Regions from separate parts of the Mus musculus genome. Here regions 1, 2, 4, 5, 6 and 7 are each reported to be linked to region 3. The links are microRNA targets in miRTarBase. Many come from high-throughput screens and were not tested one by one. Region 3 holds a microRNA gene; each other region holds the end of a gene's coding sequence. Distances are from middle to middle.
Evidence for each region. Region 3 holds the annotated microRNA mmu-miR-34b-5p (AGGCAGUGUAAUUAGCUGAUUGU, at 2,693-2,715, shown strand). A microRNA usually pairs through its seed, bases 2 to 8, with sites in the 3' UTR of a target mRNA and lowers its output. Matches are read on the target gene's strand: a 7mer-m8 pairs with bases 2 to 8, a 7mer-A1 pairs with bases 2 to 7 and ends in A, and an 8mer does both.

Region 1: the mRNA of Gpr173 is a reported target of mmu-miR-34b-5p. The part of its 3' UTR that is shown has no 7-base or 8-base seed match.
Region 2: miRTarBase lists Adar as a target of mmu-miR-34b-5p. Seed matches in the 3' UTR shown: 8mer at 2,075-2,082.
Region 4: miRTarBase lists Gnai2 as a target of mmu-miR-34b-5p. Seed matches in the 3' UTR shown: 7mer-A1 at 1,672-1,678.
Region 5: miRTarBase lists Trp53i11 as a target of mmu-miR-34b-5p. Seed matches in the 3' UTR shown: 8mer at 1,886-1,893.
Region 6: the mRNA of Taok1 is a reported target of mmu-miR-34b-5p. Seed matches in the 3' UTR shown: 7mer-A1 at 2,820-2,826.
Region 7: the mRNA of Crebrf is a reported target of mmu-miR-34b-5p. Seed matches in the 3' UTR shown: 7mer-A1 at 2,809-2,815.

Annotation. Positions count from the first base shown.
Region 1 is chrX:152,342,537-152,346,613 of GRCm38, reverse strand. Gpr173 (G-protein coupled receptor 173) reads left to right here. Exons shown (of 4, transcript NM_001359449.1): 4 at 1-3,016. The coding sequence ends at 260. Among named protein-coding and RNA genes, the nearest start is that of Tspyl2, 2.1 kb to the right of the region's middle.
Region 2 is chr3:89,750,557-89,754,633 of GRCm38, forward strand. It overlaps Adar (adenosine deaminase, RNA-specific), which reads left to right. Exons shown (of 15, transcript NM_001146296.1): 14 at 72-199; 15 at 373-2,899. The coding sequence ends at 619. It overlaps Chrnb2 (cholinergic receptor, nicotinic, beta polypeptide 2 (neuronal)), which reads right to left. Exons shown (of 6, transcript NM_009602.4): 6 at 2,892-4,077. Among named protein-coding and RNA genes, the nearest start is that of Chrnb2, 12 kb to the right of the region's middle.
Region 3 is chr9:51,102,248-51,106,324 of GRCm38, reverse strand. Mir34b (microRNA 34b) reads left to right here and starts at 2,680; the gene lies at 2,680-2,763. It overlaps Mir34c (microRNA 34c), which reads left to right and starts at 3,215; the gene lies at 3,215-3,291. It also overlaps a transcript of Hoatz not described here and a transcript of Btg4 not described here.
Region 4 is chr9:107,611,957-107,616,033 of GRCm38, reverse strand. Gnai2 (guanine nucleotide binding protein (G protein), alpha inhibiting 2) reads left to right here. Exons shown (of 9, transcript NM_008138.5): 8 at 209-422; 9 at 936-1,909. The coding sequence ends at 399. Among named protein-coding and RNA genes, the nearest start is that of Sema3b, 4.8 kb to the right of the region's middle.
Region 5 is chr2:93,199,065-93,203,141 of GRCm38, reverse strand. It overlaps Trp53i11 (transformation related protein 53 inducible protein 11), which reads right to left. Exons shown (of 8, transcript NM_001025246.2): 7 at 3,684-3,785; 8 at 1,385-3,356. The coding sequence ends at 3,223. It overlaps Tspan18 (tetraspanin 18), which reads left to right. Exons shown (of 10, transcript NM_183180.2): 10 at 1-1,382. Among named protein-coding and RNA genes, the nearest start is that of Trp53i11, 14 kb to the right of the region's middle.
Region 6 is chr11:77,534,092-77,538,168 of GRCm38, forward strand. Taok1 (TAO kinase 1) reads right to left here. Exons shown (of 21, transcript NM_001364134.1): 21 at 1-4,077. The coding sequence ends at 3,776. Among named protein-coding and RNA genes, the nearest start is that of Abhd15, 21 kb to the left of the region's middle.
Region 7 is chr17:26,771,160-26,775,159 of GRCm38, reverse strand. It overlaps Crebrf (CREB3 regulatory factor), which reads right to left. Exons shown (of 9, transcript NM_029870.2): 9 at 1-3,868. The coding sequence ends at 3,753. Among named protein-coding and RNA genes, the nearest start is that of Bnip1, 7.9 kb to the left of the region's middle.

The sequences.
Region 1 (4,077 bases), not on the chromosome of region 3:
TCTACGCGATTACACTGCTCTTCCTGCTCCTCTGGTCACCATACATTGTGGCCTGCTACTGGCGAGTGTTTGTGAAAGCCTGCGCTGTGCCCCACCGCTACTTGGCCACTGCTGTTTGGATGAGCTTCGCCCAGGCTGCCGTCAACCCAATCGTCTGCTTCCTGCTTAACAAGGACCTCAAGAAGTGCCTGAGGACTCATGCCCCTTGCTGGGGCACAGGAGGTGCCCCAGCTCCCAGAGAACCCTACTGTGTCATGTGAAGCAAGCCCGTAGGTGATAGGCAGGGGGAAAGTCAGAATCACCATACGGGGGCCAGCAGCAGGGGAAGGGTGGGACCCATACAGAAGCCTTCTCTTTCAAGCTTCAGTCCAGGCTCTCAAACCATCCATAACTGAGGCAACTCGCCAACACCTCCCTAGGGTTGGAAACGGGGTGAGGAACTGGAAAAGAGGCATTTCTAGTTTTGTGGGGATTGTCCCGCAGCCTCCTCCACTTCAACAATCTCCTTTTCCCATGCCCTCCCTGCCTTCCCTTCCCTCTCCCCTCTCCTATCTTTCTAAAGTAATGATTCAGTAAATGAAAACAAACTGAAAATGCAGGGTTTTTAATAATAACAGCTGAGGAAGTAGGCTCTCTTGCTTAAATGTCCCCCCTTTTGACATTGTCAAGAAATGGGAAGTTTCTCCTGTAAAATAGATTCCCAGAGATCGTATCGTCCCCTGGGCTCCCATTCACCCTCCCCTTCCAAATCCTTTAGCAAGACTTGGATGTTTAGGAAATATTGGCTTAAGTCTTCAGACAAGAGGGACCAAATGGGGTGCTATATTCCTTGGGAGCAAGGATGTTTAAATTGCTATGTGCTATGTGCAATGTTGTTTTTGGCTAACCTTGGTCCAAAGCCCAATCTCCAATCCCTCCCTACCATGTCCAGACTTCACAGGTGTTTCTTGAGGCTGTTTGAGAAGCCAAGAGCATACAAAGAAGAGCCTCCATGATGTGCCCAGGCTAGATGAAGAGCAGAATGGGGGATGGGCTCCTCAACCAGAATATACCAAACTTAGCTACGTTCACTCAAGCTTCCTCCAGGAATATATAACTAACTTTTCCTCCTAGGAATATATATCCACTTTAGTCCCCATTAGGGATGATGTGGGTATAAGCTGACAGGGAAAGTCACCCATGGGGAAATAGTTGAACTCTCCAGAGTACCTAGAGCCCAGACCATGGGGTCAGAGCTAAATTCAACCCCACAATTATCCCTTGGGTTCACAATACTCCCCCCTAAAATAAAATTCTTTGGAGACCTTGATAATCAAAAGTTATACAAACTTCAAGGCACTGTGGAATTGAGTCCATTTCTGCTTGACCTCTTTTTGTCCCTTCCAAGCCTCACAGTCCTTGAGCTCCTCCTTGGTTGGGCCCCAAACATCCTTCCCAGAAGTTTTTTCTCCATCCACTCTTACAGGTGGATGGTCCCAAGCCTCTTTTCCATGGACAAAAACCACTTTGGGCTTACTTCAAGGCCAGTTCTACAGACTGGTGAGCCAAGTTGGAACTCTTTGCCTAAGTCTGGGGCAGTGATCTCTCCATCTCCTTTCCTTCCTTATAAACTCCTGTCCTAAACTCCACCTCTACCCCAAGATAGGCCCTGAACTGAGGTAGTCTTGACCCAAAAGCAATGAAGGGGGCACTCTAGGCAGAAGAGATATTGATGACCCTGGTTGTGGAGTGGCCCTGGAAAAGCAAGCCAGAGGAGCTGAGAGGCTGGGAATGTGTGTTTGGGGTGGGGCTATTCTCTCAGTGATGATGATAGAAATGCCTTTCTGAGGGCTGGGGTGCAAAGACCAAGGTGGGAGGGCAAATAGGGTAAACTCGGGAGGGTTTTCCTCCGTTTCCTTTTTCTAACTGCCTGGATTCATCATTGGATTTTGTAAATGGAAAAAGTGAAATGAACAATGTTATATTGGATGTTCTCTCTCTCTCTCTCTCTCTCTCTCTCTCTCTCTCTCTGTGTGTGTGTGTGTGTGTGTGTGTGTGTGTGTGTGTGTGTGTCCATGTCTCCTATCTGTGTATGATCACATGAGGAGGTATGATTGAATGAGATAGTGTGTGTCTGTGTGACTTTGTGTGGGTAAGAACCTCTGAGGAAAACTTGCCTGGTACACATATGTGAGCAAATACATATATGTGAAGAAATAGAGTATACACACACACACATACACACAATGGAGAGGAGACAAAACTTAGTATGTGCCTGCAGCAGGAAATAGAGTGCTTAGGAGATGGAACCTGAAATTTTTCATGTATGTATGTGTCAAGAGAGTCAACTCCCATCTCATAAAGTTGTCTTCCTTTGGCCCAGCTTCTGAGCACCAGGTAAGGAGAGAATACTTTAGAACCCCATCTCTTCCCAATGTCTGGAGATTCAATCCTCACCCCAAATTTCAAACAAGGTATTTCTTATATTAGACCACCATGGAAATAGGAACTGGGAATAGGGGAGGGATCAAACATGAAGGCAATGGGGTTAAGAAATGGCCCCCTGCAATGTAATGGCTTTTAGAGGAACTGCTCAGCCTAAACTGCAAGTCCTTCTTACGGTTCCACTGTATACAGCTGGGACTTGGTTTAGCTTTGACTAAATTCAGAAGGAAAGATAACATAACGAAAAAGCCCAAGTCTGGGGATCTACCCAGCTGGCCTACTCCCTAAGCACTCAATTAATTTACTATTTATTTACTTATTTCTTCAGGTGCACAGAATTGAGCTGACCCTATTACTCAGTTCTTGGCACACTCTATCATTGGTCCATGCAAGGTCCTTTTATTATTTTGCTTTGTCCCCTTCATCACCCATTCCTGATCCCATCCTTCCAACCCCACATAGGCACCGCTCTTCAGTACTTAATGTGTGTCCTTCCAAACCACCGTTCATGTGTTTATTTACTTATGTGTATCTGTGGAAAATATATGGTATTGATGTGTTTTAATTTACATAAACAGTATTGTACTATAAATCTTGCTCTGTTTCTTTTTTCACTTAACATTCTGTTTTTGCGAAATCCAGCCATGTTGCTATACATAGATCAAATTTATTCTAGTAGTCCATCTAAAACACATATCACATCCATTTTCCTGTTGATGGATTCTGAGGTTCCTTCCTCTGCTACCACAGCAAGGCTGCAATGGGCAATTATCTCCTCTCCTTAGGAATGTCTAATGTAGAAGAAACAAGCTCAGAGAGGGGCAGTGATTTGGCTAAAGTCACAGTGGAAGTCACCTGCTATGTGGATTCTAGAACCAGAGCCAAAACTCCACCATCGTGCCTCATCAAAGACCAGCCATTTCTGATCACAAACAAAATAAAATATAATATTAGGGTACAATTAATAGCCGCATTCATTTAGGAAAAGCTGGGGTAGAAATTATGTGTAGACAAAGAGAATTTTAAAGTTCTAGAAAAATCTAGCACATTAGTTGAATCACCTTTTTTTTTTTTTAATGACGCAGAGGAAGTTACTCTTTGCATCTGTGGAGCCATTTTGCAGAAATAGAAAAAGCCATGTCAAAACCTGACCACCAAAGCAAAAAGACCTCAGATATTTAAACTACTAGCAGTTCAAAGCAGCCTGCGACTGAGGGGCTACAGCGCTCACCCCACAGGCATAAACTGGTGGGGGAAGGGACAGATTTTAAAAGTGCGTAGTTGTTGGGGGAGTGGGGCGGGGAGAATGATAGCGAGGCTCTCTGATTTCATTTGAGCACATCTCGTTCCCTGGTGCTTGCGCACTCCCAGCCACCCTCCCCGGGCCTAGTCTTGTGGTCTTCAGAATCACTGGTACTTTTCCCATTGGCTAAAACATTGCAAGACTGAGGGTGAGGGGGCTCCTACCCTAGCTTTCCTCATAGCCAATCGCCCCGCAGTTTTCCTCTCATCACTGAGGGGCAGTCAGCCTGATGATTGGTGGGCGCGAAGGGAGCCAATTAGAAAATGATGATGTGTAGTGTTGGCAAGCGGATTGCGTGAGAGAAGGCAGGGGCTGAGGGAACGCTACCGCCAGCTCCGAGGCCTGCAGCC
Region 2 (4,077 bases), not on the chromosome of region 3:
AGTCTTGCATGCCTGCTCTGAACCTTTGCCCTGAACGGCTTGCCTCTCTTCCATCACCCCGTGGTTCCTAGGTCGGCCGAGTCAGTGTTTATGATTCCAAAAGACAGTCCGGAAAGACCAAGGAAACAAGCGTCAACTGGTGCATGGCTGATGGCTATGACCTAGAGATCCTGGATGGCACCAGAGGCACTGTGGATGGGTAAGGAGTGGGAGGGCACAGGAGAGGCCCAGGCAGGCTTCCTTCCAGACGCCCAGGGGCAGGCCCCTGCCTGCTAGTACTGAGTTCAGGGCCATCCACCCTGTGCAAAATCCACACCTTAGCCCCCACCTCACCTGCTCCCAGATGAATAACACGTGCCTTTGTTTCCCCAGACCAGGGAAAGAGTTGTCTCGGGTGTCCAAGAAGAATATTTTCCTTCAGTTTAAGAAGCTCTGCTCCTTCCGAGCCCGCAGAGATTTACTGCAGCTCTCTTATGGTGAAGCCAAGAAAGCTGCCCGTGACTATGACTTAGCCAAGAACTACTTCAAGAAAAGCCTGCGAGACATGGGCTATGGGAATTGGATCAGCAAACCCCAGGAGGAAAAGAACTTTTACCTCTGTCCAGTACCCAATGACTGATAGTGGGGCGCGTTTCTCCTGGGGTCAGAGGGCGGTCATGGCATTCCTCATCACACCGGGCCAGAGGATAGGAGCTTTTTTTACCCACTCCCCCCTTTTTTAATGGTAGAACCATAATAGATGGTACCAAGAACTGCTTTCTTTGGGATTTCAAGGTGGGGTCCAGCCAAGTCCCCACCTCCCTTTTCTCAAGGGAAGAGGCCAAGATTAAAGGAAATGGAAATGCTACCATTCCATATGTAGCACAGACAGTTCTTGGTCACATGGAGCCCAGGCCCCTCGGGCTTCGTTTTGCGGAGGTTTTTTTCATCTCCTTTTCCTTTGCTGCACTGGCCTCTTGTGGGTTTGATTCCATCCCATCAGTTCTCTGTAAATGATGTCAGGGGCCAGTGATGTCACCTGCAGATGCGCAGGCAGGCCCCTGCTCTGTCATCCTTCCCTCCTAGGATGCCTTCCTGTGATGAGGTTTCTCCTTCCCCACCCCAGAGGATAGAGGTGAACATAAAGGATTGGTGAAATGTTTACAAGGGCAGGAGTTGACAACCGTGGTCAGGGATTGTCGAACAACAGGAATGTGGTAAACTGTGGTTGGGACAGGCAAGCCCTACCCAGTAACAGGCCGTGCTGGCCCACCAAGGAACTTCCCTTCCTGGGCAGCAGGGAAGTTGAGAATCGGCCAGTGGGACCGAGGAAGGTACCCAAACCAAGCACGTCCCAGTAGGGGTCCACAAGCACTAACTAGAGTGCACCAGCATTCCATGGAATGTCGCTATGCCTCCATCTGCCCCTCCATGAGCACTCCCAGAAGCTGGCCCTGGGCACGTGTGGTGTTGGCCCCAGGCCCCAGCTGTTTGTGAAAAGCAGAGGGTGAGCATAGTGGGCAGAGCAGCTTTGCCCAGACGGCAAAGGTAAAGGCAGAGCATCCTGCCGGTGCACTGGGATTCTTCTGGTCTCAGCAGAAGTGACAAAGCCCTGCATAGAATTAATGTTTCTAAAAGGCCAGAGGCATTGATTCTGAACTGCATCAAAGACTGGAGATGCAAATATTACTTCTCCATTAGTAAATGTACTTTCATTCTATCAGATGGCTTCAGAAGCTGGGTCACGGACAGGGCACAGGGCCCTGGAATCTCTGCCCTGCTCCTTTGAGGATCTTCATTTACATACAAGTGTTGTAGGTGGCAGGGCAGGCTGGCCTCCCACTCTGGGATGGGCTTCTTTGACTCCTCCCCCTCTGACAGTGACTTGTGGGTATGTGGGAGCCTCTGTAGAATCTGGTTCTAGCATCAGATCAACCAGCCAGACCCTGCTCCATTCTGCCCCTCTAGGACCAAGCCCACCTCTTTCCTCTGAATGGTGTGGCTCCATCTGGAGACAGCTGGCCAGTGTGTTCAACAGTTTCCTGCACCCCCTTGCTTAACCCTCAGAGCTGCCTGGTTCCCCCACCCTCTGGCCCACTGCCAACAGCAAACATCACATTCGTACTTCAAGTCTAATGGCTACTGCCTCCTCAATCTATGAACAGATCTGGCCAACACAAGAACCTGTGTCTTCACAATACACTGGGGATGTCTTTGCACAGCCAAATCATCCTATGAAACTCCAGCGTCTGTGGAAGTGAGAAAGCAGCACCATGCTTGTGGTGTCGGCTGGAGGCGTGTCACCCTCCGGCAACTGCATCTGAAGCAGAGCCCTTGTGGTTTCCAGGCCTGGACAGGGAGCTCTTCCCCTGGGGTCTAAAGGACAGAGATGTCTCTCCCTTTGATTCCTTTGGTCCCTCTGGTCCTCCCTGGGTATTCACACATACCCCAATCCTGTCTAGACAACGAGTGGTTCTGGGTTTCTGCAGATGGAAGAGAGCAAGGTGTCCCTGAGTTCTGTGGACTTGACCCCCGCATCCCACCCTGACCCTGCCTCCAGTCCCGCTGGCCGAGGGCAGAGCCTCCTCCCACTGTGCTTCCTTCACGTTTACTTTAAGAAGCAGGGCCTCCCTCCACACCGTCTCTTAATACTTTCTGTAGTTGATTTGTCTGAACCGTGGCTGTCTTGCATTCCTTGAATAATCATGTGTAAGAATTGTCAATGCTTGAAACTATTTCCTGTACTCAAGTTGAAGGGACTTTGTTGGCCTTGGGGTTTTAGCAGTGACTCCAAGAGCAGAGTGGGGAAGCACCCAGGCATAGCCTTGGCGCTGTGATGGATGCAGTCCCTCCCTCTGTCCCTTTACAAGTGACAGTATACATTCCTAAAAATAAAAACACTGAAGCATCAGGACTGTTACAAAGTTTTATATCTTGGTTCTTGGGGGAGGTGAGATTGGGAACAGGGACCTGTGACAGGATCTCTGGCCACAGCCACAGTAGTTTCAAGGGCCCCACTGCTTCTACAGTCTGACTGTAGTTCAGGCAGTGTGATGTGCCAGCCAGTTGGGGACTCGGCTATGTCCTCAGCACTTTCCCTGCTTCAAAACTTTTCCCACCTGAGCCCACTCTGTCATCTTTTGTTCCTAGTTTGGGGGTTGTGGGGCTTAGTAGATTTCAAAGCCCCAAATGAGAAAACAGCACTGGAGACAGCAGAAATCTCTGCTCCTGCCAGTCTTGCTGGTGTTGCTCTCCCCACAAGCCTCGGCCTTTACTGTCCTGTACGTGCCCTTTGGAAGGCAGTTGCAGCTGGGACCACGACACATTCAGATGCACCTTTTAACTTTGTGGATGGCATCGAAAGTCCCCCTCTTAAATTTTAAGGAAACCCAGCTCTTAGTAACTTACTTCAGAACTCCTGGAAGACCTATCTTTGACCTTTCAACAGTGACAACATACCCAAAGACACTGAGTGTGAACTCTCTCATAATCCTTTAGACAGATGGGTCAGCTGAGGTCAGAAGACCCAGTGACATGTTTTGGGGCACAGCACTTAAGTCCAGGGCTTCATGTGGTAGTCACTCCCTGTTTAACTGAGCTGAGCAGTTTTAAAGGCAGTTCGAGGTGACAACTCCTGCTGTCCTAAAGTCTCAGTGGCTCTGTCCTCCAGCAGCCACTGGGTCCAAATTCGAGGAATGGAGTATTCCAGTTTCTGAGGGTGTATCCAGCTTTGTGGGCTAGAAGTGTTGCTCAGGATAAATTGGCATCACGTACAAGTGGATTCCGTTGATCCCTGGCCCTCAAATTTAAAGATAGATGGTTTCCTTAAAGCCTAGCTGAAGGCCCCAAGGGCTCACCCACAGATTCACTCTGATCCCAGGATCTGAGCACAGCCTGTGCAGTGGGGGTCTGCCAGCTCACTGAAGCCTGGATATTTTAGAACCCAGACTGGAGAGGAAGCCCAAACCCACACCACCCCTGGTGGTTCCTTATAGAGGGTCTTCCCCAGAGGTCCCTTCTGGGTCTAGCCACCTGGCCATTTCTTTTGCATCTAACAAAGGGAGCAGATACCACTGACTGGGCAGTACACACTGCCCT
Region 3 (4,077 bases):
GAGCTAATTGAGTCCCTATCTAAAAACAAAGAGGACGTGTACAGACGATGTGCTGTGTGTACTGACAGGAGGAAGTCATCTCTCGATGGCCCTTTTACAGGAGTCATAAATTAAGTCAAGATAAATTTGTCAGATTCACGCAGGAAGTTCTTGTTTTTGATACTTTTCATGGTTTCCTTCCGGTCAATACTATCAACCCATCTCCTCAAAGGTCCTACCCCATCTCCCAGATCAACAAAAACCCAGAAATTAAAGCAGTAAACAGCTCCTCCTCAAGGTGCCTTCCTGGATCTATCTAACCAAATGTAATGGTCTGCTTGGGCATTTTAACCACACCACAGGCATTCTTACTTAGATTAAAACATGAGTCTCCCTGGTCTCTAGACATGCCTAGGCATGACCAGCAGATGCAATAAGATCCTTGGAGTTTCTCTAGTAACTGTGGGCAGGATCAACAGCAACCCTAAGAACAGACATTCTTTTCTATTGTTGCTTTCTAACAGAACTAGGGCACACGCATTTTTTTTTCATCATTTTACTTTTTATCATTGAAGAAAAAAATTTAGTCTAAATTTCAAGACAGTTTATGCAATGATAGCTTTGGATGGAAGCAATAAAACTCAGGTAAGATATTTAAGATGCTACTAATAGAGAAAATCCCTAAGCTGGGTGGAAGCATGACACATGGAGTGAAATTGAGCAAAATGCAAAATAAATGATTTTTTAATGATGTCCTCCTAAAACTTGTAACTCTTCATAGTGTTTATGGGATGGAGGCTATTTCTACTACTTTTATTTATATTTGAACGTTTAAATGACCTTTTGTAGGATACATTATACTTTTCTCAAATACAAGAAGACTGAATACAAGATAGTTATTTACAAATGTCTTTCATAAGTTAATTTTATAATAATCTGGCATTTTCTACTTCATTTTCCTTTCACTTAAGCCTTCATAAAACAATGACTCTGAAGGAAAAAAACATTGTCTTTTACTTTCAAAGATAATGTTAAAATATACACAAGTTTATTCTTGGGAAGTTCTTGGGTTTTAATGGTTTCCACTTGGAATTTGTGTTGAATGTTCCTGATGATTGGCATATATTCATGTAATTAGTGGCATCTACAAGACCATTTGCTGGGCTTACAGGTATCAGTGTATAGCTAAGAAATGTCCCTTTGTAGACTGCAAGACTGTTGGATCAATACAAATGGGTGTCATACAGCATACAGGAAGACCACAGTCTGGGACGGCTACTTCCTACTGAATTCCACAAAGTTTGCAATCAGAGAATACTGTATATCCTCTCTGGGCTCAATTAATTAAAGGAAAGGAGAGGAAAGACTAAAGGAAAGAAATATTAGTGAAGATGGCGCAGAAATGCTGTCCCCTCAGCGCCTCCTATTCCCAATATACACAAACACGCACCCCGTTATCAGATATAAAATAGCAAAAACAAGGGGAATGTAACTGACAGAAGATATGGCTTCTCGGGCTTCTACAGACCTCATCCTTAATGTCCAAATCTACCCTTGCTTCAAGGATCTACCTGAACTCTCACCTCCTCCATGATGGTGTCTGTCAGCTCTTGTTGGCACACCTCCCACCCCCACCCATACCTGTTTTTTTCTATTAGGAAAATCTATCAGTTTAGCAACTTTATACTGTCTGGAGTAATAAATAATGTGTTCACATTTTGTTACCACCTAGACTGTCTGATGGGTAGTAAGACAAACGCCTGTTAGGTGCTGGATTTGTAACATTTAAATAAAACAGGAGCCCAAAGTGAGACTAGATATCCTCAAGGCTCACGGGGAGATCATCAAAACTGTGTCTTTGATCTTATAAGGGCCACAACTTTGACCTACCAACAAGGGTGTTGGTTCAATGTTTGACCAGAAGAGTGGCCCACACTTCACTGTATGGCCCTGTAAGAGGTAGTCCTAAGAAAGAACTTGGGTACAGGCAAGGGCAATCCTGCAGGTATGAGTGCCCAGGCCTGCTCAGGCAGGAAGGCTCCAGATGAGACGCCTGGGAAGCGGTTTCTGAGAATGGGCATATGAACAGTGAGGAGGCCTGGGGCTTCTTGGGCAATATATTGGGAAGGAGAGATGGATGTAGGTCTCTGCGCTTCTTTCTTCGATGTAGCAGTAACTACACTGTGAAGATAAACTTCTCAAGAATCTGTCTCTCCATCTCCCCGGCCCCTTCCCAGGAGGCTCTGCAGGAGCCCTCCCATTGCCCCTTCTGGTAGCTTCTGCCACCCCTCCCCCACTCGCCCCGCCCCCTCGGCCTCGGGGTTCCAAGGGCGGTTGGTCGCTGAGCCACGGTCACTCGGCCAGTAGGAGCTGCGGGGCGCGCGGGCTGGACAGAACCGGCTCTAGACTTGGGTCTGGAAGCCGTGAAGAAGTTGTTGGAGGCGGGTCAGACCCGGCTTGCGGGAAGAAGGACTCGGGCCGGATGCCCTGGGGTCCGGGCTGAGTCGGGGGTCTCGGGGGGGACGGCGGGGACAGGGGGCCTCAGCGCCTGGGGGTTCACCTGGGGTCGCGCGCGGCCCTGCTGGGTGTGGAGGGGCCTCGGGAGCCTGAGGCACCTCTCGCTCCGCCGCCCTCGCCTGTCGACCGTGGCGAAAGGGGGCGAGGGGCCCGACCCTCGGGAGCTGCAGTGGCGGGCGCCCGGTGCTCGGTTTGTAGGCAGTGTAATTAGCTGATTGTAGTGCGGTGCTGACAATCACTAACTCCACTGCCATCAAAACAAGGCACAGCATCACCCGCCGCCCGCGGGAGGAGAAGCCAGCGCTGCAGCCCCACTGACTCCGCAGAAAGCCGAGGCCGGAGCCAGGATGCGTCAGCAAAGGGCCGGGAGCACGAGGTCTAAGTGCAAGTAACCCTCGGAGACCGGCGGCCTCCTTTAGGGACCGTTCGGCTACCTGTGTGTAAGAGCCAGAGCAAAAACGGTTCAGTGATGTGTAAAGAGAATCGGTATACACCGGCCTTAACATAAAAAAAAAAAAAAAAAAAAAGGCCAGGAAGAGCCCCCCCCCCCCCCCCCCCAGAACAGTTCCTGCTGCTGCTGTGATTCACTGCCTGATTTCCACTTCTGAGAAAGCTATCACCAAGGCAGCGACTAGAGTCAACCACAGCTTGGCTGACGATTTGCTCTGGTCACACCAAAGTCTGAGAGCACCAGCTAAAGACTGCATGCTTTTTTCTGAGTCTAGTTACTAGGCAGTGTAGTTAGCTGATTGCTAATAGTACCAATCACTAACCACACAGCCAGGTAAAAAGACTGAAATTCCTCCGACTGAGCCTCCTGTGAATCGTCATTTTGGTGAGGACAGAGCCATAGGGAAATATTCTTACCATACTATTAGTGGTTTGGGGGGGGGGGGGGAACCGCTAGCCCTTAGCTGCTAAGTATACAATGTATCAATTTGTGTGGGGTACATTTTTTGTGATTTTTAGATATATTGGAAAAATAGAAATTATCCCTTAGCTGATTTGGTCATTATATTGACTTGTGATTATAAATCTTTGGACTTTGCCTGACATATTAATAACACTCTAAAAAATAAAGCGCCACGAAAATCTCAGCAATCGTGTTCATTTCCTTTCCAAAAACTGGCTTTAGGATCTCCATTTCAGCTCCTGTCAACCCCGTAAAGTCATTAAATGGTTAGTTGCTATACAGACAAAATCTCCAGGGAAACGTCTCACACATGATTGTGACCTGGAAGGGAACGTTAAATGTTTTCATAATTTTCCATGGGGCAAGGGAACTCAGCCCACTTAACCAGGTATATTTTTTAAGGTATTAACAGTTGCGTTCTAGGCAACTTTTCGTGGGAATAATTAGTGAACACGATTTAAAACCAGCTGGTTTCCTAATATCTGTAATAAAAGATTTGAGAGGTTTTAAATCACACAAGCTGTATCCACCGGTACTTCTCGGCCCAGTTCTAGATTAGCGCTTTATGCAGATGTATCAATGCAAACCTGAGAATTTCCCCAGAGGTAAGAGTGCGAAGCCTTGGCAATCTTGTCCAAAAGAGGAAGGCGCTCTTTAAAGCTCACATT
Region 4 (4,077 bases), 57 Mb from region 3:
CCTCACTCAGGAATGCACTGTGTCTACACACAAAAGGCTTGTTACCACCCATGGGCCTCTACCGTTGAGCATACGTACATAGGAAACATCCTTCATACAGCACACGCACTTACACATGACCGTGCTGTGCACATTACATGCTTGTCTGTTGTGGGCACAGAGTTCTGCTGTACATGCACATACACAAGTCTTCATTCGTCTTCCTTAGGGGCCAACAAGTACGACGAGGCAGCCAGCTACATCCAGAGCAAGTTTGAGGATCTAAATAAGCGCAAAGACACCAAGGAGATCTACACGCACTTCACGTGCGCCACCGACACCAAGAACGTGCAGTTTGTGTTCGATGCCGTCACTGACGTCATCATCAAGAACAACCTGAAGGACTGTGGCCTCTTCTGAGGGGCAGTGGACCTGGCAGGATGGTGAGTCAGGGGGTTGTCAAACAACAGGGGTCTGGGGAATTGGGGGAAGTCATTTGGGAGTACTCAGCCTGGAGAGAAAGGGTCAGGCAGGGCAGTCAGGGACCAGAGGAGAGGGAATAAAAAAGGGTCCTGGCACTCTCCTGGACAGAGCTAGAGGGGTGGTCAGTGTTCTTTGGAAGGAGTTGCTTCCTTGCCTCCATGGTATTCTAGCCTAATCTAGATGCAGGAGACCCAGGCACCCCGCTGCTCACTGACCAGGTTCACTCTTGTTCTTAGACTTCTGTCTCTCAGACCTGAGAGTCCTAGGCCCAGGCCAGCCCCACTGGCCCTGGCGTACATTCAGTGACCGCAGTGTCACTGATATACACATCCTGTAACCCAGCAACAGAAGCTGGCCTCTGGGCACAGCTGTGTCCCTGGTAACAAGGAGGTGGGGGAGAAGAAGGTCATTGTTTAGAGAGGCAAGAAGAGGAGCCACATGTAACCCAGGCTGTGTCTGTCATCCACCTCCAGGGCCACCGCTGACTGTGCTCCCCACTACCCCTGAGGAAGATGGGGGCAAGAAGACCATGTTCCCTGCCTGTTCCCCCAGCTGCTTCTCCCATCTTTTCTCTCTGTTCTCAGCTCCCCTGTCCCCTCCCTCGGCTCTAGACTTGGGGGAGGGGTTGCCACAGGCCTCCCAGTCTAAAACCCACCTTTGTCTGAGGTGCCGGGAGTAGCCATGGTACCCCCTTCCTGGGCATCCGTTCGGGTTTTCTAACCGTTGTCTTGTTCTGGGGTGAGCGGGGAGCGCATGCAGAGATCCCAAGGCCTATGTCTGGAGGGTACCAACTCCTCCAGCCTAGACCCCTGGCTTTGTCCAACACCAGCCCTGACCCAAGTCCAAATGTTTACAGGGAGCCTCCTGCCTACCCCACTCTCTGCCGCTCGGAGGCCCCAAAGGAAAAAGCACAAGAAGCGTGAGAGATACCGCCATTCCTGGAGACAAAGCCCACCTGCTCATTCTCGTAGCTTTAAAGAAAAAGAAAAAGGAAAAATAAGGAAAACTGCAAATCTAGAAAACTTTTTAGAGAAACCTATTTAAAACTGTCAGGTCCTGACCAGCACCCCCACCCCAGCCCAGCCCCAGCCCCACCCCTTTCCAGCGATTCCGTGCCTTGAGTGTGTCTGCGTGTTTACACCCATCCCTCTTTGGGCGGCCCCCTGCTCTGCCCTCCACGGAATTGGATTCCAAGGGCTGTTCCAGACAACTGCCAACGTCACTGAGGGCCCTGCTCTGAAGCCCTGGGCCCTGGCTCCATTAACCTAAATGTAGCTCCTTAGCGCTAATCTAGGAACCGCCGCTGCCTGCTGAGGGCCAGGCCCCTCACGCCCTCGCCCCAGGCCCGGGTCCTCCAGCGTTGAACACTTCCTTGCTTTTTTCACATGTTTTATGGAATTGTTCACATGATTTGAAATAATAAAATGTAGAAAGAAAACACCAAAAACTTCCGTGTTCTTTTCTCCTGGGGACTGAGCAAGAAGAAGATATCCCACACCTTAGTGCCACACCTGGGATGGGCCCCTGGACATCAGCTTTCTAGGCAGAGTTCCATCCCAGTTCTCTAGCTTTAGTTTGCCCTCTGGACTGGTCAACTTACATGTTAGAGGCTATGCAGCCTTCTAGTCCTAATTTTGCAGTTTGTGGCCTGGGGCAGCCTTCAGACCTTCTGAACCTTGGGAACTCTTCTAGAGGGTTCTTGAAAGTTCGGAGGAGCAGAGATAGCACAGATAAGTAGGCTGCACTCCTTGGCTTAACAGACTCAGAAAACTAGGGGTGGTGGCATATGCATTTAATTGTAGCCTACAAGAAGGTGAGGCAGGAGATTGACCAAGAGTTCTAGACCAGCCTGGGCTATATATTGAAACTCAAAAAAACCAAGTTGCGGGCTGGTGAGATGGCTCAGTGGGTAAGAGCAGCGGACTGCTCTTCCGAAGGTCCGGAGTTCAAATCCCAGCAACCACATGGTGGCTCACAACCATCCTTAACGAGATCTGACTCCCTCTTCTGGAGTGTCTGAGGACAGCTACAGTGTACTTATATATAATAAATTTTAAAAAAACAAAAAACAAAAACCAAGTTGCCTCTAAGACTCAAGGAACATTGTAAAATCGGGACGAAGAATATAATTGCAGAAAGATAGGATGTAGTAAAGCACTCTTCCCACTGGATGGGGCTGGTTAACATCCTGTCATGGAATGAGGAGGTGGCTCACCCCCAACTGTCCCCCTAACTGAGTGATTGAGGAAGGAAGAGACATTGTCTTCAGTATTGTAGCTCCTGGTAAGGTATCCATAGTCCTGGAAGCAACCCTGTGGAGAAACTCTTTGAAAGTGGAGGAAGGGGCAGTTGGAAAGGGCCGGGGGTCAGCAAGAGAGTAATAGGTAATAGGTGTTAGTAAGACAAAAGTGCGTTTTATACGTGCTGAAACGTTATAACGAAATTCATTTTGTGTAATAAGTGCCAGAATACCACGTCGCCAAATCAGAGGGGTGGGGACAGGCTGTCAAGGAAGGGTTCATGGGGGTCTGTCATTGGCTGCATTGGAAGGTTGATGTGGAAAACAAAGCTAAGGGAAGTGCTGAGTACTGGGCGGAGCGCAGCGCTAAATGCCTGGGTTTTCTTCCAGGAACTGCAGGGGCAGCCGCGGGCAGCGCCTGCTACCGGGACGGCTAGGCGAAAGACCGGCCCCAGCTGGGCGGAGCTCCGAGGCCTCTGCCGCCGGCCGCCAGGGGGCGCCTCAGCCCGTCCTCTCCGCAGCTGCTGAGCTGGTCACGCAGGCTGACGTCACCGGGTCCCGTGGAGGACGCTTGACACAAAAGCAGCTTTGTGTGGCATTGGAGGCTCCGCGCCCGCGGCCTGACAAAGCGGCTGGGTCCTGGGGCGGGCGGGGGTCGGCGCCGCGGAGGCGGGGGAGGGAGGGAGGGATTGGACCCGGGACCTGGGACTTCGCCTCCTTACACCTGTCAGTGGCCACAGGCCACCGGGCCTCTGATACTGGCAGGAGATGAAAGGTTGTGGCGGCGAGTCGGAAGGAGTGCCTGCTCTTCCCTCGGCTTCTCCCCCGCCCCAGTTCCTCAGGCCATTCCGGCTACCTCTGCCACAGGGTACAACTGACAAGAACAGGATCCTGTGCCATCCCCAAATCCCTGTCTTTCTTTAGAGGCTCGGGCCTGAACCCCAATGTGCGCAGGCGGGCTGGAGCTATTCCAGAGTCACCATACCCGCCCATCAGGAAGCAAACACCGGAGATGGTTCCTTCCTTCTGTCCTGAGGGGAACCCCGCACAGAGGGCCATTGAGAAACTGGCATTGTCTGCCTGATGCACCCGGTGCCTCCCTGCCTGGGTGGGCCATTTAGGGCTCTGTCCTGTATCCCCTAGGATCTCACTTGGCACTGGGTCTGGGTGTGGTTCTGGCAAGCAGGGCTTACCCTGGTAGACAGTTAGGCCCCCACCTGCCTTTGGCCTTTCTACTTCAGCTCTGACTTGGAGGGCATAAGGCTCCATTGTCCCAGGACTGGTGGGGGCGGCTTCTCAATTCAGCCTTTCTTTGCTGGTGGGAAATTCCCAGCCATGCTTGGGGGGCAAAGGGGAGGCAAGAAGGACCTCTTAGG
Region 5 (4,077 bases), not on the chromosome of region 3:
ACACACACACAAACAAACACCCCAGACTAATAGGTTCACAACCAACCAACCAACCAACACCCCCCCACACACACACACACACACACACAAACTTGAACTGCAGGCTAGGTTAGCAACTAGTTGCAAGATGCCTGACCCTGCCAGGACCGTGTTGAATCCATTAGTGTTGTCTGTCAGGATCTCAAATTTGATTAATTATGTCTGCCAAGGGCACAAAAGGGGAACAGTGGTGGAAGGAACAGCTAGGTGTCTGCTCTCCTCTCTCAGATGGAAGAGCCTGACCTGAACTCCAGCCTTCCTTTGCCCTTCTGCCACCTGGGAGTCATAGCCATAGCCTGTTCTATTCTGCTGTCTGGGTGCAAGGGGGGCTACTTCTCCCATTTTCTCTCCTCTTTATGTGGTCCTCACCCAGCCTGGCCTTCCGGGGAGTGGGTGTCTCTGAATGCTATACGGAAGTTGTCTTTATGACAGCTTAATTGGCATCCCCATAGTAAGCTCCCTAGAGGCTGAGTCACCAGATCAGGGGGCCCCTCTGCTGGCTTGCACCCCCAGACTAAGAGGACCCAGGCTGACTCAGAACCCAGCACGTACTGGACTCCAACTGTCTAGGAAGGCAAATGGCTTGGCTATTGATTGGAAGTTCATGGCTAGGTTGAGGACTTAGCCCAACCACAGCGGCTGCCACCCAGAACTAGCCCAGGCTTCCAGAGATGGGCAGGGCTGGGACAGGGAGGGACTGAGAAGCCAGATATGGAGCCTAGGCAATTCCAGGGCAGATCAGAGTCCCTCACCAGAACTTTCCACACTTACGCTGAAGCGCTCCCAAGTAGCCCTGATTCAACCCAGCTTCTCAGCATCCTCATGGGGCCAGACAGACACAGTCTTCACCCTCTGAGCTTGCTGGTAGCCATTGCAAGGCTGTCTGAGGTCATCCTGGTGGGGCTTGGTGAGCTGCTCTGTGTACTCCCAGAGGAATGGAGGGGAGCTCTTCCTTCACCCCAAGATGCCTCAGCCAGTAGTGAGCAGAACAGCCACTTCCTGTCCCAGAGCAGTGGCCTAAGGGACAGCTGTATCTGACAGGCGAGGAGCTAAGACTGGACCTGTGGCTCATGCTCCCCATTATCCTGTCCCAAGCCCCTGGCCTACCTGGGTTCTGAACCCAGCACCTTCATCCCCAGGAACTCTGATACACACACACACACACACACACACACACACACACACACACACACACACACGTCATATGCTAAAGTCTATTTTGGAATTTGTAAATGTCCCTTGCAGTAGGAAACAGAGCTAATTTATCATTGTATCTCCCAAGTCTCCCCTTTTTATATTCTATATTAAGAGAAATTTTGTAATATAAAACAGGACACCACGCAGATTGTTTCTCATTGGTTGTTTTTTGTTGTTGTTGTTGTTTTCTTGTGACTGTTTCTTACAAAAAGAAAAAGGGACCAAGAATAAATAGTGACCATGACAGAGGCAGTCTTGGGGGCCAGGCAGAAGCATGACAAGAGGAGCTGGGGATGGGGTGGGGGAGAGCAGTCAGGGCACTCTGAGCCCAGACTCAGAGTGGGGCTCTATCTCCATCACTGCCTCCTTCCAAGCAGGTGTCTCCCGGAGGCCACATATGCCTTGACCCCACCCACCTAAATGTATCACTGCAGTTTAACCAGGGTGACCTGGGCTCCTGCTGCTGAGGGGAAGCCTGGCGGATGTCCCTGCAGGCTGCGCAGGGCTGGCGTCTTCCATTTCTACGACTACCTCCCTTGGGACTGTATCTGTATTTGTGGAGGATTCAAGATGATAAATCTTCAACACCTCTGAGAATGGTGTCAACAAATGTCACCTGGTCTACGGTAGTTGGGACTGTACTAAGAGCTGGCAGTGGCAGGGTCCATGGTCCGAGTAAAGAGGTGGGACTGAGGGACTGGCACCAAGCCAGTGACAAGAGGCAGGTATACACAATGGGCCCTTCCTGAACACGCAGGGAATCGCTACTCTGCCAGACCTTGGTTACAGAAGCAGCCCCGGCCACTGCTGGGCACATCCTCCACTGAGTTCCCTCCACTAGGCAAAGGCCATGGTCACAGAGCACTTGGCAGCAGGAACAACCGAGCCCAGGGAGGCTGTGAGCCCAGGTGCCCTAGAGAAAGATTCCTCGGGTATAGGGGACCACCCCCTTGCAGAAGGGAGAAGCCTCGGGCCAAATCTCTTAGTGTGCTTGCTGCTGAAGGGTAGGGAGGTGCTGGGAGCTAGGGCCAAGGGGAGGGGCCACACAGGCTGGTGGCACCAGGGGTGTGTCTTCAGCTCTAGAGGCCCACTTAGGGGCTGCTAAGGGATGGCAGACTCTTGAATCTCCTTCCGTTGTTGCATGTGAGCAGCTATTGGCTTTAACCCGTAGGCCTTGGGGCAGCCTCAGGAGGGGATCTGGAGGAGGCACTGAGCCAGGTGTGTAGCCATGCAGGCCTTGGAGGCCATGCCGAGGAAATGTCCCCACTTGTCCTCTCCTCAGAATTCCTCATGCACTAGGAGCCTATGGGCAGCTAGGAGCCAGGGACTATCAGGCCTGTGGTACATTGCCTAACCCTAGCCTGTCGGGAAGGGACTCTGGTGCTCTGGGACGCAGGCGGCCAGCCAGAGAATCAGAGTACCCTCCAGCAGGCCAAAGAGAGAGATGTGCAGGCTGAGGCTGGGGAACTTGGCCCAAGGGAGGCAGTCACTCCCCTTGCTAGATGTCCTCAACTGGATCTCTAGAAACACCGTGTGTGTGTGTGTGTGTGTGTGTGTGTGTGTGTGTGTGTGTGTGTGTGTGCGTGTGTGATGAGGGACTCACACATCGGGTTTCTGGATGGGGAGAAGCTGAGAGCCCCTGCTGGGGCCGACACAACCTCCTAGAAAGGGCTTCCTGGCAGAGGAACTCACCTTGACTCAGCCCAGACCCTAAAACTTACTCTAGACTCTGCCTGTTAGAGTCTAGAGGCCAAGAAACACAGGGCAAGGAGTTGTCCCTGCACAAGGGTGAGGGGTGGGGTGCAGAGGCCACAGCCTGGTCTGTCACTCCTAGAATCCCAGGAGACCCAAGATGACTCCGTGGAGTGCCTGGGAGGGAAGGAAGGCGTGTGCACCCTGCCTGCCTGCAGGCCTGTCTAGGACCCATGGACAGTGAAGTCCCCAGCTGCTCGGGCCCAGGTCCAGGCCCAGGCAGGTCCCAGCCTGCTACACTTTTTTGGGTTTCCGGCCGACTTGGTAATAGTAGTAGATGCTGACAATAACAAAGAGGAGGCGGCTGGCCAGGAGCAGCACGGTCCCCAGGGACATGAGGCCCGTCTCAGCAAGCGTGGCAGTGACCACTGTGAAGGAAGTCGGGGGAGGCAAAGGTCAGGAGCAGACACGTGCTTGAGCCTCTCCCATCATGACGCTAGGCTAGGCTGAATACCCTCGACCATCCCTGTGGTGAGTGGGACTGCAGGCTGACGACCTCCAGAAGCCTAACACCAGCCTAGGCCAGTCTGCTGCCCCCAAGTGGCAGGTGCCTAGAAGTGCATCCTGAGTGTCAGGCTTGGAGGGAACGGCTGGGCTGTGGATTCAGGACACTGGTCTATGTTGTAGGAGCACCCAGTGCTCTGCCCTTCTCTTCCTGCACCCTGATAGCCTTCCCACCACCCTACACCACTCACCCAGGGACTGCACCCCGAAGTAGCAGGCCTCAGTGAGCAGAGTCCAGCGGATGATGACCTTCTCGGCTGTGTAGAGTGCGTTCCACATGATCAAGGAGATGCCTGTTGGAATCAAGCACCGGGGCAGCCTGATCCCTAGCCCAGGAGTCCGAACCCACTTATTCCACAACACCCACTTCTCAGACCAGACGGCCCCTCTTCCGGTCCTCAGCTCTTCAGCTATAGCTTTCCCCCCAGAGACAGCTCACATTGCTTCTAAAGCCCTATCCAACCCAAGCCAGGTGCTCATCTCCCCAGGACTTGGTATCTTTATCTACACAATGGGGCAAGGGCCTCCAGGCCCAAGCTACCTCTGCCATTGCCAGGGCAGTGAACCAACTACATGCATTCTAGC
Region 6 (4,077 bases), not on the chromosome of region 3:
CTAACTTTCTCCTCACTCATACAAGTGCTAAGGGGGAAAAAAAGACTGCATCTACCAATCTCCTTCCCGTAAGCATCACCCAGAGTACTCACTCTGTAAGACCAGTCTTGCTGTAACATGGGGTGGGAGTGGGGCAAGAACAATAAAACTTGAGCCCTGGCAGACACGTTTAGAATGAGTTATACCAATCCATCTATACACACATACAGACACTTATATGTATATACAATATATACATACAAGTGAAAATAGCTATACCCAAAATGTGCACATTTAACAGTTTTAAAACGCCAGTAGATCATGGTATAATAAAATTTATTTCCACTTGTAAATGGCACAAATGGAGAAATGCAAAGGTGTTCAAGTACAATGAAGTCATTTTTACAGGTGAAAATAAATCATATTATTCCAGTGTCCAAAACAATGTTATCCTATGTTTAAAATGCTAGACATTAACAGAAGCACAAAATTACTAAATTCTGCCTTATGATCTGAAAGTTTCCAATGTTTGGAAGTGATGTACAGAAAACTTCTTAGTAGCAGGATGGGATCTCCAGGACAGTTTCTTTAGTGTTATGTTTACGTGGTGTCCGGGCAGCCAAGACATCACAATGACTATGTACAAAGCTCCATTTACTAGCAAGGCCTTGACTTCGGGCTGTTTCACCTGTGGGTGTGACGTCAAGTTCAGGACTATCCATCTCTAGATATGGAAATGTGCAGAAGAGCAGGAGCTCCTTAAAAAATAAACATGCTTTCAGCTAACATTGTTTATACAGTGCAAACACTTTCTGATGTCAAGATTTAGGGTTAGAACTAAGTTTAAAAGAAAGTTATGTGCAAAGGACAGAGAATCTAATTAGGAATACAATGTCTCAACATATAGGCTTTGCATTTTTAAAATGCTGACCCCAAAAAAGGGGGACCAAGAACTGTTTCCCTGTCAGGTTCTGGATACCAGATATAGGTCTACAACCTCTGGTGTGCTACAAGCTCGCCATGCTCTCATCCTGTTAAACACACATATAATGAATGAATACCAACAACTGGGGAGGAGGTAGTGTTAATTTGGTCAAATGTTGACATTTCTGCTTTTTTTTCCCCATTAAGTACTTGCCCTGATTTCAGGGCATTTCAAACCCTTTCAAATTTTCCTGCTACCAGTTTTTACTGTGACCACTCCTGCTGTGTACATGATTCAACTAGAGTTATTATAGGCTATAAACACAAACCTATTCATTTTAATCATTGTGCAAACTACATGCATTGTAACTAAATTGATGTTATCATCCAGGTATAATGACCTACATGGAAAAACTGGGTGCCACACAATTAGATGGGGGCAGAAATCCTTACTGGACAGACAGACAGTCAGTATTCAAACACACTAGTGTGAGTGCATTATGATCAAAATGGACTCATTAACTAAATTTGACCAAGTGACTCTCACAATGGGTGATAAAATGTGTTTCTGGTAGTAGTTTGGAGTTTGAAGAAATGTCTTGCATATATTGGATCTGCTTTCTCAATCTAACCTTCTGGTAGCAGATAGTTGCCAGAACAGTTTTTTAAGATGATATTCTTTTATAGTTTTGAATATCCTATTAAACTCTAAAGCTTCCCCTTATTTCCTCAAAACATATAGAATTTTCAATTTGTCTGAGAAACTCCTTAATAGTATTTTGAGTGAAAAAGGAAAAAAAGAGAAAGAAAAAGAAAAAAGAAAAGCCCTTTTCATTAGCTATAGCAAGTATATGTTAACCTAAAAACTGATGGGGAATATGTTTAAAACCCTGCCTAGACCTGTGTGTGAATACTATTAACCTTCTATTGGATTTTCAAAGGACCTATACTATAGCATCTACCTTTCTTTTGTTCTTTCTTTTTTGAGACACTTGTAGGCAGCCTTGAACCTGAGATTCCTATCCCTGCCTCCTAAATGCTGGGATTATAGGCATTTGCTACCACACCCTGATCTAATTTTTCTTTTAATTAGTGTCAGAAAACCTCAAACCAATGTCAGAAACTTCTGAAGGGGGTACGTCATGGAAACTGGACTGACATACCTGGACAAGACATAAAGCATGGTTAAGAAAACTAAGAACTTCCATACTAGCAGATGACAATTTGGTCACTAGTTTGTTCTAATTATGATTAAGAGAATGCTTACCATCTACCTAAATGAAAAGCAGGACCCAAAGTTAGTAGCAAGAGCTCTTCAAGACAACTGAAAAGGGAGCAGGACAATAACTTATACAAAACCTCTGGTCTCTCACTAAAGAGGGCATTTGCCCTAGTCTACCACCAACTCAAGGCGCCACACAAGCAATGGGATATTAACTAACATTGATGAAGAACACTGGATTGATCCTTCATTGAAGAACAGACAAAACACACTCCCCAAATATTAGTGGTCCTTGACCACTACATAATATCTTCAAATTTTGTTTTCTTTCATTCACCAAACTACCTAGTTCCTTTCTCAGTAGTATTTTAGCACTAAAGCTAGAGACTTCTGAAAGGAATTTGCTATTATATGATATTAACATGGACCCAGATGGTCACTAAGTCTCAATGAATTAAGAATTCATAAGGTACTACAGCAACAAAAACAGCAATTAAGCACAGAGGACCTGTAAATGAAGCAATAACTACAGTGTGAAGATTAGTCAGCAGCTGATAGTCATTGGCTCAGTGACTCCTGGTGGCAACTAAGTAGTTAAATAATTGACTATTGCTACCTGTAAACAGGAAATCCCATGAGCTAAAAAGGGGGCAGTAAAACTATGTCTATGTAGTGTGATGAATATGCTAATAGATGGCAGTTCAAATATGGCATCATCCAATACCTCTGGCATTTGCTTTGTGTTGGCTATAGGTCTTCATTTTTGTACAAACAAAGCAAAGGTACTGTTTGGAGTCTCAAGTTTGGGTCACATGAGATATTGTACAAGAAACAAAATGTCAGGCTAGCTATACAGGCTTTCCCTCCTCCCTGCTGAGCATCCCTGTCACAGGAACTTTCAGGGGCCCCTCTCGCCCTCTAGTTTTTCCCCTCTGAAAGCTCACAGGCTTGTTAGTGCAATAGCCACACAGCTTATGATCTCCTTATGCAACTCCGTCTTACGATGATACAACCTACAAAATCTGACAAAATTCTGAATCATTTATAGCAAAGAACTAAATGATTTTCTACCACTGAAAAGGTAAATGCAATCTTTTAATGTTCATGGTCTTGTTTTTTAGTTCAAATGAGGTTGAGAAATCAGATCAATTCATAAATAAAGAAAACCCACTGGTGAGGAGCGGAGGTGTATGTGCTTCAGCATGGATGCTGCCTGCTGTTAGGGACTCACAGAACTGGAATATGAAGGAAGGCTTTAGATCTTCTGACACATTTCTTAGGCTATGGATACCCTAAAGTGATGATTCAGATTAGCTTGCTTCATTCTGTTTTTATATTGTTCAGATAATACCCCTTCTAATTAAGCCAATTTTTTTTTTTTGCCACATACATGAAATACTTATCTATTATCACTTTAAAAATTTTCCAAAAGTTAAACAAAAACAAAAAGCCAACCACAAAAACCCCGGCAGCCAAATACTATGACATCCCAATTAGTAAACACAAAACATAACGCTTTACAAAGACAAATAAAATATACCATATGCACAGCTTCCACACGGTAGTACCCAAGTGAGGAGGCTGCTGTGATGATGTCTGTAGGCAGTTTCTTTTGGCAGACAGCTCCAGAGGAATTGCCACTTTCAATTATTATGTGTAAGACATGTGTGACCCATTGGATATTTGTGAAGTGACACTCGTGCTTCTGCTCATGCCCTGTTCCGTCCGTCCCCCAGAAGCTGTCCGCCTCAAAGCCTGGGGGCTATTGCGGACTCCCATACTGCTACCTCGAGGTACCCCTTGCATTGGCCCTGAGGGATGACCCCATGGTTGGGGTCCACCTTGCATCGGATGACCCCAAGCTTGTGGTGTGCCACCCATGGGATGACCCCAGTGAGGTCCTGGACCCCCAGTAGGATTGTGAGACCAACTAGAAGCTCCTGGGTAGCTGT
Region 7 (4,000 bases), not on the chromosome of region 3:
CCATTCTTGACATTTTGGTGAATAAACTAACAGCTTTATTAATGAAGGCAAACATCAGATAATTGTATGAATATTATATATAAAAGAGAACTTCATACCAATAGCATTGTATTTCAAAAGTACTGTACTTCAGTTTCTTTTAAAGAGACTTGTCATCTGTTGTAAAAAACAAACAAAATAGGTACTCTTCTCCTAAAAACTTCTGGAAAACAAAAGAATCACTTTCGAGCAGATGAAGTGAGCACATCTGCCTGTAAATGCAGACTTGCTAAGGTGTGAGCGAAGCCAAGCATCAGAGACGCAGGACAGCCTCACAGAAGCCAGAGAGAAGGACGTAACACGATTACTCAAAGATCATTCAAAACTGTTCTCTCCTACAAGTATAAAACAACTACAAAGAGAGGGAACTATGAAACGACGCCCATCTGAAATCCTTCATGATGCTTCTGGAATAGTTGTGATTCTCTTACAAAAAGAACAGAGTTAAGGTTTGGGAATGGGATGGAAGGAATGAAGATGCATCATTTAAGTGTACAAGTAAGGCACAAGGTTAAGCCACACCCAACTCGCTCATGAAGGACATGGAAAGGATGAGGACCCACATACATGGTACAGCACAGCAAGCAACCACACTGATTGCAAGACTCACAGGAAACTTATGTAGGAGCAGCCCGGCAGCATGCTCTCATGTGGGCACAGACTAAAGAATCCAGTGTATCTGAAGCCAGGAAGCAGAAGGTTCATTGTTATTTTTTACTGTAGTAGTACTGTAGTCAGTTTATGGTTGCCTTTGGAACGGTGGGTTGATCTGAGGAGAATTCACAATGCCTTCCTTCACTTAAGGGAAGGCTCTGGACTTCATGAGCTCTCTGTATACCATGTATGAACACAGAAAACCTCTAGACAGCTCTCACTCTAACGATTTCCACCCAAAAATACAAACCACGATTTTTTAAAATACAACATATACAACTGCTGGGTTTTTACACACTTGTGAGAACCGCCTGTGATACACTAGGTGTAGGATATTTTAAAGACAATAGAGGAAGCAGTTCATTACTGGCATTAAAAGTACAACCATTTCTAGACGGTTTTAAATGCCACAGAGTCCCCTGGTTAAAATGTAAAGCTGCACAGCTTGCCTATGTCATCTTAAACAGCAAGAGGATTTAACTTGCACTCTACATTTTACTGCCAGGTTTTTATTTAGATCAAGTATCGCTGCAGCGTTCTGACCAGCCCAAGTTTAGCAGCAAATGGCAGGAATCATATAAAATGCAATTTTATAACAAAGTGCTTTCCTAAGATATACATACATATATAAATAGGTACAAAATAAAGAGTCAACATTAAAAAGCTCAACTATTTAAAGGCTTTCAACTATTTAACTTAAGGAGTACATATAAAACACTGAAATGCACGGGTATGGAATCTACTAAACAGATTCAAAGTGTTTTGAAATGCAAGACCAAAAATCAAATTCTGGTTTGCAGACAAGAAAAAGGTATCAAAAAACCAGAATTCCTAAAACAGGGTAGCTAGAAAGGGGCAATTTTATAAACTTCGCCAACTGACTCGCGATCATGAAGTGACAGTCATTTGACTGAAAACCGCCAGGTTCTGGAACACTTTCGAGACTTCAGACACTTCCATTTGTGAACCTATGGTTTGCCTTTTCCCACATAGAAAGTAAAACTTTAATTCTGTTAACCATGACACGTGAGCTTATTATCTGTTAGGGTGGATGAACTAAAGGTACATTTCCACCAAACACACAGGAACCTTGTCACAGTTTCAGCTAACGTGTCAAGACAAGTCTTGGTTTCTTATGATTCATGATGTCAAAGAGGCAAGTCAGACACATTTTTGGATTGTAACTGTGTTTTCTAATTGAAACTTCATGTGCTATAGCTTACAAAAGGGGAGAAAGAAAAAGGAAAGAAACTCCTGTGCAGACAGACCAAGGACAGCTATCTTAGTTCTATCAAAAGGTGGTGGAGAAACAGCAACTATGTCTGACATCTCAGGCTTTTCTTCTAGATATGTTTGTTTTTACTTTTGAAGCCACCAGTTTTCATAGTTCCAAACACAAGATCTGAGATAAAACAGTCAAGAAAGACGGGATGGAAGGACCTGTGGGGCATAGGAATCTCTCATCAAGAGGCAAAGCTTGAGCACAGCTACAACTGACCACTAAAGCAAAGAAGAGCACCTAAAACTAAGCGTGGTCATGTTTCTCAAGTCTAGAAACTACACAAGATAAGTCACATGTAAGTTTGAAGAAAATACCTGTACAAAAATATAAAAATTTATAAATTTGTTTTAAGCTTGTGTTGATCTTTGAAAATATTACATGCACAATAACATCAATTGGAAAAGTGGCAACTAAAGTATTAGATATTTTTAGCTTTTTTATCTCTTTACATATATATATACATAATACGATAAAAATAATCTGTATTTTGGTTGTTTGGTGGAAGTATACTACAATAAGCTAAATAAACTTTAATTTTCAAAGTCAAAAACTATTTTATCAATAGCTTACTAATATGAAATATATTAAAATTTCCTACAATAACTGCAGAAATAAAAGACACCTAAGTGGCCACCAACTTATCTACTATGGAAGCAAACTAGAGGACAGCAAAATAATATTTGGATGTATGGATGCTCCTTCTGTAGATAATTGGACCCAAACAGAAATAAAGTTCACAGTTGAGTAAGATCCCTAACCCTGACCTTTTAATTTTTTCTCTGTTTCATACATTCATACAGTATCATGTAAGCTGTGCAAAACTTTACTTAGACTGGCAGTCTGCCATACCAGTTGCATTTGTCTTTGGTAGAAAAAATAAAACAATCGCAATAATGTGCAAGTATTTTCTTCCGGTCAAGTACCGAAATAGGAGTTCTCTAGAGCCATCTTTTTTTGTTTGTTTTTGTTTTTTGTTTTTTTTTTTATACAATACACAGACTCTGTGGCATATATCTACATTTTGACATAGTCCTATATACATTCAAAAAAATCTGAAAAAGAGTTGGAACAAAAAGACATTTAAACCCCATAATTTTCTCATCTATATATCTTGGTTTTCCTCATTAGGATTTTCATCATACAAAATATTACCAGTTTTAGAGTTTCCCCAAAATACAAGGCACAAAGAGTATGCTTTTTCTTACTTGCACAGACAATTCTATATATATATATGTATGTATATATATATATATATATATATGTATTTTTATATATCATATTGAGTTCTGAAAAACATCTAAACATGGTACACACGTGAGTGCTGGGTGCGCCATGTACATGTGAGATTAATGGCTGTAAAAAATTAGAACAAAAAGCAGTCATTCTAAAAACAATCTAAATGGACTTTGAAAAAAAATGCTTCCTCGGTATTTTTGTGTGGTTCAGAGCATAAACCCACCTTAACACTCAGCATTATACTAATATATTCACTCACCCAAAACACTCTGCTTCAACAAATGTTTACAATCTGTACCTCATATTTACTTAATGTGTGAGCTTCTTTCTCATGCCAGCAGCAGGGTCACTGGTTTATGCTCTGAAAATGCAATAATCAAGTATTTTGGATCATGCTTCACTTATGCTATTGTTTTTAAAACAATGTAACCTAATTATAAATGTTTACATAATGCTAATTGACATGCAAAACAGAATGAAAATTTACAATGGATAACATGACAAAAACAGACATTTCTGACCAGTGGTCCAATGAGGCTGATTACACTTTTGATGCTGGTATCCTTAGTCCTACAAGGCCTCCAGTGGGGTTGCCTTCAGCAGTCTTCCCTAACACTTGGTTAACAAATTCTGAGGTTTGCCCAGCGACTGGGAGACCTGAAGAGAATAAAAGGCACACTTTAAGACACAAACATGGAGAAGGCATAAAGGAAAGGGAAAAAGTCTGAAAGCTGATATTGACCCCAAAACAAGGGCTCCACTACTTGCTACTGCAGCCCAGAAAACCAT